2 linked regions of the Astyanax mexicanus genome follow. The protein of the gene in region 2 purifies or fractionates together with the protein of the main gene of each other region. This does not show direct contact. Links are inferred from orthologs where the notes say so. Each region holds a gene or a part of one and is shown on either strand. Other genes may lie near its edges.

What was found. The genes of interacting proteins can lie anywhere in the genome.
Region 1: the proteins of exoc6 (region 2) and exoc2 purify together in Homo sapiens (affinity purification with mass spectrometry; 5 studies listed by BioGRID and IntAct, counting the BioPlex papers as one, with this or other methods). This does not show direct contact. The link is inferred for Astyanax mexicanus from reciprocal best matches to the Homo sapiens genes EXOC6 and EXOC2.

What each region holds. Positions count from the first base shown.
Region 1 is NC_064408.1:76,634,821-76,643,312, forward strand, and holds the start of exoc2 (exocyst complex component 2), read right to left. Parts: upstream 3,286-8,492; 5' UTR 3,174-3,285; intron 719-3,173; 5' UTR 709-718; coding exon 591-708; intron 332-590; coding exon 155-331; intron 1-154. UniProt on the Homo sapiens protein: Component of the exocyst complex involved in the docking of exocytic vesicles with fusion sites on the plasma membrane.
Region 2 is NC_064422.1:23,191,458-23,199,267, forward strand, and holds the start of exoc6 (exocyst complex component 6), read right to left. Parts: upstream 3,072-7,810; 5' UTR 3,017-3,071; coding exon 2,832-3,016; intron 1-2,831. UniProt on the Homo sapiens protein: Component of the exocyst complex involved in the docking of exocytic vesicles with fusion sites on the plasma membrane.

The DNA of each region.
Region 1 (8,492 bases), on a different chromosome or scaffold from region 2:
ATATTTAATAATTTACAAACTTCAAAGACAATACTGTATATGTACATTCTATTTGCTGCCACAATTCTAATCTTTGTTTAAGATAACAATTGCCATTGCTGTATATGACTATATACACACAGAAAGATCTAAAACATGCAAGTGCATTTCTAACCTATCTTCTCATGTTTGAGGAGTTTGAAGGACACAGTGGATGTGCCTCGGCCTCCGCTCCTGGTTGTGACTATGATCTCGCCCTTGTCATCTTTAGCAGGACCAACTCGACACACAATCTTACTTGCAGACATCCATTCTGCCGTCAGCAGACAGTTATGACCACAGATAGACAGACCTGAAAGGAATACAGAAGCAGAATTATACTCTTAGCCTGGAAAACAGGTGCTCATTTTCAGATAATAATAAAAGATATATATAAATAGAAATGTTTCTTTTAAATAAGTAATAAAAAAAATTGAATATCATGATAAACAGAGCCTTCACATTAAACATTTAAATAAAAAAGAGTCACTTAAATACATCTCTGTGACTTTTGATTACTCCCTTTAGACTAAACTATTAAGTCTTTATATATTCAGCACTGTGCATGTTACCGATAAGGTCATTGGGTCCGGTTCCCAGGTTTTCTCCACGGATAGTGACTTTAGTCCATGGTGTGCCCTCATTGGGCGAGATGCCAGTCACTAGAGGAGGTTGGCGGGCACGAGACATTGTTCCCACACTGCAAATGCAAAGAGGACAAAGAAAAATATTAAATGTGATTACTGCAAATCTATGCTGCTTAACAAAGGCAGTGCATCTGCTGTAAGGATTGTTTGTTGTTTAAAATTGTAAATATCAGTTTTAAATATTCATCACATACATTTGTCTGATATATTTTTTAAACTGTATGATCCTGATGTAATTGTCCCACATAATTATGGTTTGGTGAAAAAAATATTTTAGGTTCTATAAAGTTTTTTTTCACACAAAGATTGAATCAAATATAATTTTTTCAATATTTAAAAATGTCATGGTTCTATAGAGCTCTAATTACAGCTATATCTACAACTCTACACATAGTGTATTTTACAGCTTAGTTCTAATATATAAGAAGCACTATTTTAATTTAGATAACATTATTATTCAATTCTTCAGAGAGTTATTTGCTTATTTGCATAAGTGGCAAAATTATATTTAATTGTAACTGTAATGATAGTACAAGTACATTACTGTATCACTGTATCAACAATATCTTTTGGTTAAATCACTGTCTGACAACAACTTTTCCGTGTAAACTGCTGATTAAAACCTGATACAAGAAAACCGATACAGCATTGCAAGTATTCTCCCTAATCTACCCAGTAGCTGTGTCTGCCACCTTCACACAGCATTACTAAACTAGGAGCACAAAGGCTATTATTCAACAAGCTTAAAGGACAATGCTGTTACATCAGCTTTCTGAAAATGTTTTCTTAAAAATCATCCAAGGTTATGTGCTCTCTGTAGCATCTCCATAAAAAAAAACTAAATATTAAACCATACAGTAGACTACACTGAGAATGTAGGTAGGCGATATTACATATTTTTCCCTTTTTGTTTCACTTGCACGTGTAAAGATAATCTCTATCTAAGACAGAAAAAATAATTAGGAAAATGGTTTATAAACCGAAGTTTTATAAACATATGAGTGTGTACACATGCACTATATTGTTGGCCTAATATATTTTAAAAACAAGCATTACAATCTAAAAATGTATCTTTTTTTTTGCCTAGTTGCTGTTTGATCTTTTTACTAATCATATTTACAGTACATATGAGGACAGTTGGCCAAAATTTATTGTTCTTTGAATGAAAAGTATGATGGTGTGATAAATTAAACACATATGAAGTAGGGGTGTGCATGTTTAATAACAACCTTTCACTTTACTCTGACTTTTTGCCACTGTACAATGTAAAACGTTTCTTGTGAATTTTACAATAAGGAAATGTCAAAACAGTTGCCAAAAATGATTGTAAAATTACAGTTATTCACTGGGTGGTGAAAAACAAAATTACAGCAGTATGTGTGTGTGTATGTGCAAATTTGTCTGTGCATGTGAACAATCTGAAGACTTTTCTACAATTTCAACTATTTTAGTAGTGTGACAAAACTTACTAAAGATGAGAGCGCTTTTCATTATTCCCAACAGTAAGTAGTAGGTGGATAAACAAAAAATTGTTAATATGAAATAATTGTGTACACTTAGGTGCAAAAGTTTGGTTTTGATAATGCTATATGTGGTTTTGGTTTCTGTGCTTTATTTTGCAGAATCAATTAAGTATTTTACAGTTTGGAAGTGTGTTTTTTTTTTTGTGAAAAGCTTTTTTGTAAAACCAGCATACAGAATTGTGTTCAAGCAGTCTGAAAAAATGTAAGAGAGGTGAAAATGTAGGACTTGGCTAGTATGTAACTGATTCAGGGAGGCGGTTAAGGATGTCACATGATTTTTACAACAGCAACTGTATTAATGCCTGTAGCCTGTAAACTTGTCATGTTAGTCAGAGGATCAAAGCAGATGAAATTCTAATAAACAGGCCAGTGATCTCTTTTAAAGCATTTGTTAAAAGTACTTTAGTGGGTTCACTTTAAAGCAGAGAGATACTGAACCCTGTCCTCCACCAGCTCTGCTCAGAAACAGCTCTCTATCCTCAAAATTACCAAAATACAATTTGACCTATAAATTAACATACAGCAGTAGATAGCTAACGCCAGCTTATCTGTTCTGCTTATAATAAAACAAAATAGCTCACCTACTAGCGTTACTATTAACCATTAGCAGAATAACAAACCAGCACAGCTGAGCTTGGTGTAACACCTTCACCACCGCTTTCAGTGTAAAAAAACAGGAGTGTTTCAGAACAGCAAAGAGCTGCTATAAATACTACCCAGCTAGGTTAGCTACCATACCATAACCTCGTTAATTAACTACATTTGTTTAAAAGTCTAACGTTACAGTTCCTTAGCGCTGAGGCTAAAAACAGTTAGCTCGGTTAGCGGAGCGGCTGGTTAGCCTCTGAAGCTATCGGCGCAGTCTTTAGGACTGACAGGAGAAACACAGGTCTAAAAACACTGTTTTACAATAAATTACTTACAAAGACCACCTAATATAAAAACCGCGGCGTGTTAACTGGTGTAATGTTAGATTAAAACCCACCTAATCTAGCGCAGATCACCGCTCTACCAGGGGCTGTGGCTGTTTTGGTCGCTCAGTGTACATCCGGGTCACTGCGTCTCTGGCCCCTCCCTGCTCCAGCAGTCACTGCAAAGAACAGACTTTAGCTACAGACTGAGTTGATGCTGGAAGTGTAGTCTGGATAAAAAGGTGAAACATTTTCACAAGAAAAAAAACACTTCCTCATGGCATTCCAAGATATTTCACGTAATAAGAAATAGTTTAACACCAGCAAAACCATTCAGATATATTATTGTTGCAATATTGTTAGTATTTTAGCTGCATTTAAATCATAGGCCTCTTTTTAGGGGCTATAGCCTCCTCTAAATTCTCTAGCTACTAAAATAAACGTGCATTATTAGTTTTGTTAACTGTGTTATGTGTACCAAAACTCACAGCTTAATTAAATAACCATAGGGCCTGGAAAGGCCACTGCAAACCTGAAACAAGGGTCGCATGAAGCACAACATATTCACCATCTACAAAAGAATGTTAAGTCATATTGTCATCATATTGGGGTATTGTCAAGAGTGTGATAATGATGAACTTCATTCTGGCAAATGGTTGCACACACCATTTGTGATGTTGCCACCATGCTTCCAAGCGACACTGAGGAAGGCATGGGTTCCTATGCCTTGTGCCTCTTTTGGCAGATTTGAAGCTTCATCACTATAAAGAAACTTGTAATCCACTGCAGTAATTGTAGTAAAGTATGAAAGTGACATACAGTATGTATAGTGCTGCACAGCAGGAGAGTACATTACAGTACCAGTGGGAGGAAGTATAGCCTAGACTTCACATAGCCATAACACAGCTTTCCACACTGCCTGATTGCTATATTGGTGCAGCTCAGATTAGACTGGACAATCTGCCTAGTATCCTGAAAACAGTAAACATTTGTAAAAAAGAAATGTTGCAGAATAGTTTTGACCTGTATCTGGGTTTTGGTAACTGGTAGATGAGTATGGTGTTTGCAGGGCAGTGTATCCAAAAATAAAAAAGGGTATTGAGTTTGTATTGCTGTATGTAATGTAGGGAATAGTATTTCGTGTTTGGTTAAAAGTGTGTTTAGAATTGCTAGCTGAATGTAAATCAGATAAAGAGCTTTTAGTTTAGTCTACCAGGTTAACAGCTATTTGAGTTAGTTATTTTCAAAGTTGTGCTACAGGTACCAGCAAAAACTGCAAAAGACTCATTTGTCATTTTGCCTCCTCGATAGATTGCTTTGCTTTTCTCTTTGGCTCAAATGTAATTTTAAATGTAATTTGCCCTTTTAAAAAAGTGATTTGAGTCATTTCAAAAGTAATTCAAAGAATTTCGAAGTAAAAGAGTAAAACTAAAAAATATATATTAATTTTATCTGTGTGTGTGTGTGTGTGTGTGTGTGTGCCTATCATTATACCTTGAGATGGGCAATTTTCTGAAAAAGTCAAAACTGTATTAGCTGGCAGGTACATATAATTGTGTACACTTGGACTGACTTTATATGTTTTTTTTCTTTATATGTTATTTGTTTTTCTGTTTTGTCTAGATGCCTTCTGACATTTTCACAAACCATATTTGTAGTGCAAATGAGGACAGTTGACAAAATTGACTTTAAATGTCTTTAAATTCAAAGTAAAAATGGAAAAATAAGGCTGGGTGGTGAAGGATGGGAAAAGTATGACGGGCTGGGAGTCGTATCTCAGGAAATGATGTCTGATAGAAAACTAAAACATCTTATTGTGAAGCACATTTCACTCAAATCTGTCCTCATACACACAATAAACATCCTGCAATTATGTAAGACTTCCAGTAGGAGCAGACCCAAAGAAATGGGCACGCAAAGGGGCACTGAATTTTTTTTTATTATTATTAATACAGCAGTAGTTTTACAGAACTGCCTATGATTTGATTTAGCTTACTCTTACTGATTTTGTCTCCAAAATTATTGCACATTTTTATACAATCCACTTCTGTGAAGGATTTAATTTCTGCTATTGTTACAAAATTATAACCTGTCATTATTTTGCCATCTTTACTATATTGTGGTTACTCTATGATACTTTACAACTCTAAAAATATTATTACGCTCAGATATAGACTATAGTATTGCTAGTGGTTATTTGATCTCTATACATACACTCTAAAATTGTATTTGACTGTGATTTGGTTTTACATTGGAATTCTTCTCCCTGCATTTCTGTTTATTCTAGGATAGTGGCTGCTTCAGCGGCCACCCATGCAGCGCGCCTTCACGCTCCGTTATCTCAGGCAAGGAGACTTTCCCCCTGATAAAGTGATAAAGCCTCAGAGAGTCCCGGGAGAGACTGAAATCTTTTAATTATGTCGGCTTAATCTCAGAGATCAAGAACGATTTGGTCTTGGCAGAGGCAGCACAGTGTTCCTTCTGACAGAAAGCAAGCAACCAGGGTGTGTGTGTGTTTTTTGGAGGGGGGCTGAGCTTAGTAGAATAAACATAAACACTCACAAGAGTTTATACTACTATTATTATATTGCTTAAGAATCATAAAGATATTTATTATATTTTATTATTTATATGTCTGATATTTATAACTTGAGGTCTGGAGTGGGATTTATGTATATAGTTTGTGATGTCTATGGTGATGATGACTATGCTTACCGTTTATTATCATTATTTATTTTTTACATTTTCTAAAATGTTACAACCTCTCCAAGACCCCAAGCCTGGTCTATACAATAACTGCTGAAAATAAAGGCTATTAGCAATTTGCCACAGAAAAAAAATGGTTTGATTAATACTTTAAACATACTGATATTTGATTGAAAATATTTATTTGAGTTGAATAAAACTATTTTAATTGCTTGTTACCACTTTAATTGAAAGTACAAACTACTTCTTAAGTAGAAACATGAAGAAATCAAAGAAAAATATGAGGATTTACTATTAATTTATATGGATGAATATTAGAAGCTGTAAAATCTATTTTGCTGAACTGCACATAAACCCATTGTAAAATATTTAACAGACAAACTTTATTTATTATAACAAATCTATTTATTTAGATTTGTCTATCGATGTATCAAATTATTGAAACCATTGTGTTGTTAGCAGACTGATTCTTATATTTATCAACAAATAAACTGAGGAGCTGACCACTTATTTGATATTTTCATTGTTATATGACAAAGCTATGAACTTACTTCATTATCCAATGTTATTTTCTTCCTGCAGTCCACTGGCCAACACAGACTTTAAACAAACTGCTTTTCTTGCAATTCTTATAAATAAAAATGTTTGATTATTTATTTAGTATATTTAGTTAGTTAAAAATTGATATTTGACAAAAAAGCCACTGAAAGCTGTGAATACTCTGATACTTCTACTGTAAACCATGGCCCATTGCGTATTGCTATAAGGCAGGTGATATGAAGAGATTTTTATTTTGAGAAGTTATGATTAGTGCAATGTCTTTTACATGTTATTGTCCAGCTTAAACAACTTTTTAAATAGACAATTATTTCCTGTATTAAATATAAAACTGTTATAGATGAATATTCAGATTATATATACTTGCGACTGTGTGTGTGTTGTTTTACTATTGTCTAATTTGAGTGGCTCTGTCCCAGTGTGTTCCCATGGGCCCATCGCCAGGAGGGAAGGCGCCATGTGAAGGAACGAATACACACACACACACACACACACACCCCTTGCCAGAGCTTTATGAAGAATCTTCATGATGGAGTTAAAAAAAGAGAAAAGAGTTGACATTTGGGTGTATGTGTTTTACTAAATTTGATGTTTTGCAAAATTTAGGAAAAACTGCAATAAATAATAAAGTATATAGTGCTAAGTGTATTACAAAGTGGAATTGTAACTAAGGTTGCTTTTTAGTGCAGAGTTGTGTAAAAAATGATGAACATTGGAGTTTTTGCTGATTAATGTATTGTGACAATATAAAAGGGGAAGGAGATTTTTCTTTTGGTGTTTTTTTTTCTGAAAGTGTGCAGCAATTGAGAAAATATGATGTGAAAATCTATGATGTGAATATTTATTTAAGGGCTTCAGTGTATATTACAACCTTCACCAACAGGGGGAACCGTAGAAGCAGGGAACCTTCCACACCGTGTGAAAGTCTGTGTTGGTGGTGCTCAATTTCAACAGAAAAGAAAGGCTTTGCATTTTAGTACAAAGGTTAATACTTGCACACTAGTGCATAAACATCTAAATATTCTCTATTAATTAAAGGATTTACATTTCACAGTACTTTACAGTCAAGCTAAGAATTATTTTGGAGCCTATTTTTGTTGCTGTGGAGAACCATTGTTTTAGTGTACAGTAATAAGTCATGGTTTGTCTAAATTGTTTACAATTGACATATTCATGTATAGGGCTAAAAAATAAAGGATTTCTGCCTTATTTGTAAAGTTGTGCCAGTCTTTCACTGTCAACAATAAACTCTGTATAAGCATTTGTTATTTTTCAAATTGAAACAGAATGTCATGAAGAATGAACCAAAAGAAATGCTCTAAAATTGCCTAATAAATGCAATATAATTTTTTCATTAACACTCACCAAAAGTTAAAGTTTTTCACCTTTCTTCTGTAAAGCTGAAATTGTGTAGATATTAGGTTTTGTGTATATGTATTTTTTCCAAGTGATTCTATGTTCTATATAGTGCAGGTTGTCACATATTCACCAATAATTAAACTGACATGTAAAATTACACACACTGCTTAGTTTTAATCTGTGAAATATATATATATATATATATATATATATATATATATATATATATATATATTTTTTTTTTTTTTTTTTTTTTTTTTTAAACAGGTAGAGATATGTTCATTTGTTGTTTTTTTTGTCACAAAAACAGTGAATCAAACAGTTTTTAATTTGCCACCAACTACAGAGGAAGCACTTTTTAACTGGTATGGAAACATTATCAGTTTTTCAAGCTTTTTTATTAAGGAGGGTAAATTCTTGGTATCTTGATATTGGCCTTTTAGAACAGTGTTATTAAGCATAAACTTTTAAATTCTAGAATAATAATATTTTGTCATTTTGCTTAAGAAATATTATTATACAGCTAGTTTAAATCACTGTTATAACAATGTTACTAACATGTTAAAATATTAAACATTACTTGGAAACAGATAAAAAATACCTTAATTGTTTAAAGTACTCCTCATAATGCACTGTAATGTACTGAAAAGTGATACACTACTAAATCTAACATAAAGAACTGATACACCTCCATTCACTGTGAGATTACATCTCCACCCACTCTGTGTAAATCACACTGATATTTCCCTGCTAATATAAACATGACAAAT
Region 2 (7,810 bases):
CCAGCATTAAGAGACCTATAAAAAGAATGGCAAATGCCAGCTGGGGTGAAGTACATAGAAAGTTCGAAACAATCCCCTAGGGTAGGACTCCTAAGAAGAGCCAGGCTGAAGTTTGCAAAAGATCATAAGAATTGGACTATAGAGGACTGGAGTTTGGTCATCTTCTTTAATTTTCAGAGAAGATGTCCAATTTTCAGCTTTGCTCAACACCTGGCCATCAAATGTTCAGATAGAGACCTGCTATGGTGTACTTGCAATCCACTGTGAAATTTGGTTAAGGATAGGTGATGACCTGGGGATGCTTCAGCAATTGCGCAGTTTGGTCTTTGTGAATGACGCATGAATCAAGCCACATTCAAGGTTATCCTGGAAGAAAGTTTGCTTCCATCTGCTCTGACAATGTTTCCCAACTCTGAGGACTGTTTTTTTTCCAGCAGGATAATGCTCAATTCCACAAAGCTAGATCAATTAAGGTGTGGATGAGAAAACACTAAATCAAGACAGTGTCATGGCAATCACAATCTCCAGCCCTGAACCCCATAGAAAACCTATGGAATGAAATCAAGAGCAAGATAGATGTTCACAGGCCATCAAACAAAGCTGATTTTTTTGCACCAGGAGTGGTGGCATAAGGTCACCCAAAAGCAGTGTGAAAGACTGGCGGAGAGCATGTTGAGACACATGAGAGCTGTGGTTAAAAATCTGGGTTATTCTACCAATTATTGATCGTAAACTCCTTATATAAGACTTTAGTATTGCAGTGGTTTCTAAACGAATATTAACTTTTATTTCTTTGCATTATTTTATTTATTTTTTGTTAATTTTGTAAAATCTACATTCTCATTTTCTGAAAATAAATGCTCTAAATGACAATATTTTTATTTGGAATTTGAAAGAAATGTCATCAGTAGTATATAGAATAAAACCACAATGTTCATTTCACTCAAACATATAACTATAAATAGCAAAATCAGAGAAACCTATTTAGAAACTGAAGTGATCTCTTATTTTTTTCCAGAGCTATATTTGAGCACACCTGGCCTACTTCTTTACCTGTGACAGAGCTAAAGTATCACTTATCTCAGTGAACAACTTGTCTAAAGTCTAAAGGGTCTAAAACACGTATTTTCATTTGGTAATAAAGACTCACTGAATGATGTATACTCAGTATGTTCACTGTAAGGTTTAATAGCTAGGTTAGCTTCCTGGCTAACGTGACCACCACACCCACTGACAGTCAGTCAGTCACCTGCTTCACTTAACGAGCGGCGTCAATGTCAAGATCCAAAGTCTGCTCTGTAAATCACCAGCACTGCTGGACTGAGCTAAATAATGTGTAAAAATGCTCTTTATGTGTCCCAGCGTTGTTAAAACACCGCTGTAAACCTAGATAGATAGCGAACTAGCTATGTAAGTCAACCTTCCTTTCATCAGCGGGTGAACAGGAGACTTCCCGCAGTCCTGCGCAGAATCGCTGATCTACACATGCTCCTCCACACAACTGTGCTCTGTGTATGGTATACAGATCTGCGAAACTGGACATCGGCTAGCTAGATACGCTAGCTAGCCAGCTAACCTACGCTATTCTGACACTGGTGGTCTTAAGAGATAACCTAGCTCGCCCGCTAATGATTATTAAGCCAAATCAAATCACAACAAATATTTTTAGGTTGTGCTTTTGTGGATTAGTTTTCACAGGCTTTGTTTAGGATGAAGTGTTTATTCAGAACCAGCCACATCCTGCGATTCTGACCACAGACAGATAGACAGACAAGGAGATGACTACAGCCCAGCTAAAGCTCCCACTATCCACCACTTAACTTACAGCAATGTAACGCTATATATGACCAACGTACACTATAAGAAATATCGTTAACGTTATCAGTCATCATACAGTCGCACGCCGACGTATTTCATCCTCTAACGGAAAGAAAACTGCCAAGCTAGCTGAGCCAGCTGTAACGTTAGCTAGCTAGTCAACCAGTATCATCCTGAACCGGTGTTGTGCCTAACTGTGCTCCCTTGTCAAATCGTGCTACCATAGTGTATATTCATAGCAGGGTTCATACACTCTTTGACCAATAAATTACAATTAATTTTCCATACCTTTAAGGCAAATTCTCATGACCATACGATTTTAAAGCATCAGTGCAGACATGGACAATAAAAATCAACTAAATCTCAGAGGGCGACATCATGCAGCCAAACCACTGTAGTTTAAATAATGCTAGCTAAAGCAGTGGTGGTTATCATTTTCTTTAAAAAAAAATAATAATCTGTGCCATACAGGTTTTTATATTTAAGTAGGTTTTTTTTTTTTTTTTAACTCTTAAACTACCCAACAATAATAATAACGGTAAGCTAAAACTGCAGAATACAACAGAAACATTTTCTCTTATAAATCCCATGAATCATGACTAACATTTAAAATTGCGGGTACGCGCGTGCGCAGAACAGCGAAACAGCACATATCGACAGGTAACAGAACCCGACAGAACACCGGCAGCGGCTCACAGGCTATCAGGTGCCCACATCCTGCCATCCTGCCAGCCTCCCGGCCCGTCAACTGCCCCAATCCACCCATCCATCCCAGCCCCCTCAGACATGATTCAGAACTAATGGTTTTAGCGGGGCGGTCAGCGGAAGCTGGTTTATTCCTCCGCTCAGCGCTGTGTAACGGACCGCTCAGTCAGTCAGTCATTCTGCAGACTAACAGCGTTAGATTCTCTTTAGCAAACAAAGGCCCAACTCCATCCGTCCTCCCCGGCGAACACAGACAGCGCCTCACCAAACAACAACCCGGACAAAACAACAAGCTCAAAGCCTCCTACCGAAGCGTCGGACCAACGCAGGCTGTGTCCGTGCTCTCAATCTCCTGCAGAATGCGCTCATGCTCCGTAACAGTCTCCAAGGTTTCGCTCTCCGCCATGTTGGCTGTGTGTTGTGAGAATGCGGCGGGAGGCGCAGTGAGGGGGGGGCAGCCGACAGGTGGAGACAGAGAGCCCCCCCTCTCCATTCAGGAGCATCGCGCTCGCGCACACAGTAAGGGCCAACAGGAGGTCAGCGTGTGGAGTTTAGTACAGCAGGATTTATAAATTTAGCGCGATTATTTACACCTAAAACCAGAACTGCCCAGGAGGAGAAAAGCTGAGGATCATCCCTGTTTATTATAAAATACTCCCCAGCCTCCAGCCAGTACCAGGAGTAGTAATATTAGTATCATTCTCCATTTGGAGTGGGAAACCATGTCACAAAGGTTGGAAGGTTAAAAAAAAGCCTAAAATATTAGGGGCAATTTCAAGAGTCAGTATATACATTTTGACAGTTAACCTAAGATGAAAACCACATTTTCCTTATGATTTCTTAGATTTTCCTTTTTTAAATTTAAAAATATTTCTTTATTTTACGTATGTAAAATAACTCGTCACAACCAATTTTCAACACTTGAGCAAACATTTTTAGTGAAAAGAAATATTAAAAATGTTTAACTTTTGAGATTTCATAAAACAAATCCACACTTACTATGTACATGATTAACATTATACTACATTAAAAAATATATATTTTCTATTTAAAAAATATATTTTTGTCACAAAGATTTTGGTCACTGGTGTTATCAGGACTCTTATATTATATTTTGTCATAGATATTGTTAGCTCTGTTAAACTGTTTCTTGGGTCACAGGTCTTCAAAGAATAAGCATCTCAAGGCATGAGAAGGTAGGTCCATACTTGCTCATTTTATTTTATCAATTTGACAGTATTTTGCTTTATCAGGTAACTTTTTTTTATCAAATATATTGCCATATGTCTTCTATTTCATTGCTCTCAGTCTCTTGACTGCCAATGAGGCAGGCTTTTCACAAAATCCTCCAATTTAACTATAATGTCACTGGTGTCACAGATGTGTGACCATGTGATGTTTGTCCTTTTATATGTTTTTAAATTTTTAATAAACATATCATGCATGAAATGTTAGAATTATTCATTCTTATATTTAAAAAAATGTATTATTATTATTTTTTTAATAGTATAGGAAGATGCCTTTAAGTATAAAGAAAGACCGCTTTATTTTAGTTAATTTTAGTGCTTGTTTATAAACATATTTTGGTAACATGTTAAGTTAAATGCAATTTCTTTTTCACATTCAGCCACATTGTATTTTGAAATAAATTCTTCAAGATGGAATAACACTAGTAACAAATTGAGCAAAACATTTTATGTTAAAATATATTACATTTATTTGGAATTAAGTTCTCCATTTTGCATATTTGGTAAGTGGAGTTGTTAATAGACATTTTAAGGTTGTTTGTTTCCTGGACAAATTAAATCGATTTTTTAAAATGTATCCACTTGAATTCCCACTCCAAATGGAGAATGACCCATTTATATTATACAAATGCAGCTCAAAAAAACTATAATATAATTGAAAAAGTCACTTTATTTCAGTTATTCTGTTCAAAATGTGAAACCCATATCTATTTTATGGTTACAGCCAATGAAAACCCAAAAATCACTTTCTCCAAAAATTGGAACATTATATAAGACCAATTGGTACTGCTGAAAAATGAAATCTTAAAAGTTGAAAACTTCTTAAAAGTTGTCAGCAGAGGGAAGCACCTTCTAGACTAATTACTGCTTCCACTACTATTGCTGCTACAGCTATAGTACTATTACTCCTAACAAGTCTTATTATTACTAACGACTATTACTCCTAATACTGTTACTTGGAGATCCAAAGCACGTTTGGAGAGCCATAAAAGTAGTAGCACACAGTTAACCAGTTATTGCTCAGTACTGAACAATATTAGTGTTAAAAAAACACTAGCAGTGTGAATCTGTTGTATAGTTAGTAGATGCAACAGTAGTAGGAGTAACAGTTGTTAGAAATAAATATTAGGAGTTTTTAGGAGCAATAGTAGTTGTAGCAGCAATAGTAGTGGAAGCAGTAATTAGTCCAGTAAATCAGTAGTAGGTGCATATGAAGTGACCTAAATGTAAAAATACAAAGAACACAAGCATTAGACTGTGTTTAGCTTATAATTGACTGTTTTAGCTGCTCATCAGTACAGTGAGAGTTTTAGTATTAGTGTCTGACAGGAAAAGATTCCAAGATTCAAAATTTAAAGAGTATTGTCATTTGCACAGTAAAGAAGCAAGTTTCATTGTACAATGATTTTTTCTCCTTGCCAAGTATGCCACATGAAGAGTATAGAAAAAAAAAGTAGAAAAAAAAATAAAATATTGAATTTTACAAAGCTTAGTTTTTGAGATACAGACTTTACTGGTATTTTCCAGTCAATTTCAGTCCAGGCCTGTTTTTTTTTTTTAAATGACATGAGTGATAATGCAGCTTTATTATGTATAGTTAATATAATTTATATATATAAACAGTGATTTCATTACAAACTATTGATCAAAAATTAATACAAATACTAACAGTTGTACCTTAAGGTTGTTCCCAGAGGCAGCTCTACTAATTCAAGTTCTGCAAAAACGTTCCCGTAGATTTTTTCCTCCCTGAAATCTTCTTCTGGAGGGCTTAGTGGAGGAGCCCTCGCTTTGTTGCTGTCCATCTTTCCCTTTCTGTGAAAAGTGTGTATAGCACTTAGAAAAAAAATGTTGACAGGACAGCACTGTGACCAGAGTAAGAGGAAAAGTGCAACCCCTGCAAAAAGGGCTGTCTCGTGATTCCCAGTACTTTGAATCCAACAAAACAGAGATAATTACTTTCTTGTAAAATATTTTCAGGCTAGAGCTTAATTAATGCTGCCTGAAACTAAGGGGCAAAGGTTTAAGTTAAGAGTGATAGAGTTCAGTGAAGAAAAGTTCTTACTTTCATCAAACAGTATTTAATTAGTTAATGTGCAATAAATAAAAAAGCCTGTAACAAGCACTGTATTTCCAAAGTACATATAATTATATTAGCGGAAAAAAGACTTTATATATATATATATATGTTTGTGTGTATTAACACATGTAACATTCTCACTGATATGAGCAAAAAACAAACTATTTTCATAATTTGGACTCAACGTGACAACAATATATTACTCTTCACATCCCAACATTTCCTTTTTTAAGCTGATGTCCATTTTTTTTTTTTTTTACAGGATTTCCTGAAAAAAGCGGGGTCATAACCAGACTTATCAGCAGCAGAGGGAACCAAGGGCACCTACAGGATGAGCACATTCCTACAGCACATTTTCTCCAGACTCATTTCTCTCTTTTGGGATACGGCCATAAAAAATTCAGCTTGTTTCTTTCTTATGATCCAATAATTACTTTTCAAAAGCCTTACATTGCTTACATGCTGATTAAGAAGGTGCTGACACTTCTGTTATGCTGTTATGCAGGAATGGATGTATATTAACAAATGGGTTCACACTAGAGCTGTGCAATATGGCAATGATAAATTTGTTATTGTGATAAATTATATGCCTCTCTGAGCACATGTAATTTTAGACAGTGTAATTAGTCTTGTTTATATTGATAAAGTGTCACACTTAAATAACTGTATGTCCTATAATTTAATAATTAGCATTGTTTTAATTCTATGGCTACTAAATTGTTTTGCCATGTGATATGGGATAAATACGATGATAAATATTGTGTATAGTGAAACATTCTTTAAATAGTTATACTATAATTTTACCACATTGCCCTGCACTTGTTCATACTGTCTGCAATGAAATAAAAGTCAAAGAAACTATGTATTTCCCTCTTATCTGCACTTTTTTTTACTGTTTGTATTTCCCAAAATACATTTAATTTTTACATACAACATAATATTAACTGGAGTGGTTTGGGTGCTTGAAGTAAAATAAAATGCTTAAATGTTTAATGTAAAAATGACCCTGGTTCTGTCTCTACTTTAGAATTTAAGCATGTTCCGCATCTAAGAGCAATACAAGTTCTCTCTACTAGATGGCAGTGTACAATAGCTGTATAAAGCACCTTACTGCTTGTTTTAATCATCATTCAATACAGCTCTCTGAGGGGGCACTTTCCCCAGACAGAGATTAAGTCTAGTCTTGGTCTACACTGCAAATTCTGTTAAAAGGAAAATATAATCTAAGACTAGACTTAATCCCTGATGGGGAAACTGCAAACATGGAGTGTTGGCTGAATGCAGTCTTGCCATTTTAACCTTGATGCTTTCTTGTAAGTTACATGACAAATATCCAGTCAGATATATAATAGCAGAATCAGTACTAGCACAGACAAGCCTTTTTATTAGTCTCCCCACCTCCCTGAATGAATGATGCTTTTAAACAGGGCTTCAATTCCTCCCCATAATAACTATGCTGCCTCTGAATCAACCCTGAGTCATAACATACCTGCATCCTGCACTTTATACTGTGCTGCAAAATGCACCCGAGGGCTGTGGAATGGTTGGTGTCAGAATTAAGAGCTTTAATAAGGTGAGGATTGTTTGTTGACTCAGAAAACAGTAAATCTCATGTAACAGTGGGCATATGTGAACATGTACTTTTAAGCCCTATCCGGACGGGATTAGTTTCTTAGGGGAGCGTCTGTGAAAAATATTTTACACTTCTAAGATAAAACTCTTGCATCTGGACTGCAATTGAAAAAACACGAGTTTTTTTGGCCTCTTGGTCATATGACATCATGTTCAGTAGCTCCTCCATTTCCACTCGCTGTTGTGTTTACGCGGATCTCCGTTGAAACACGCGCCCAAAGTGTAAATACGGTGCGTGGCAGTGGACAAATAGCTATTTTATTAAGCGCAAAGTGACAAAACTTTGATGTGCGTCCGGACGGGACTAAAATTACAGGAGGACCACAGA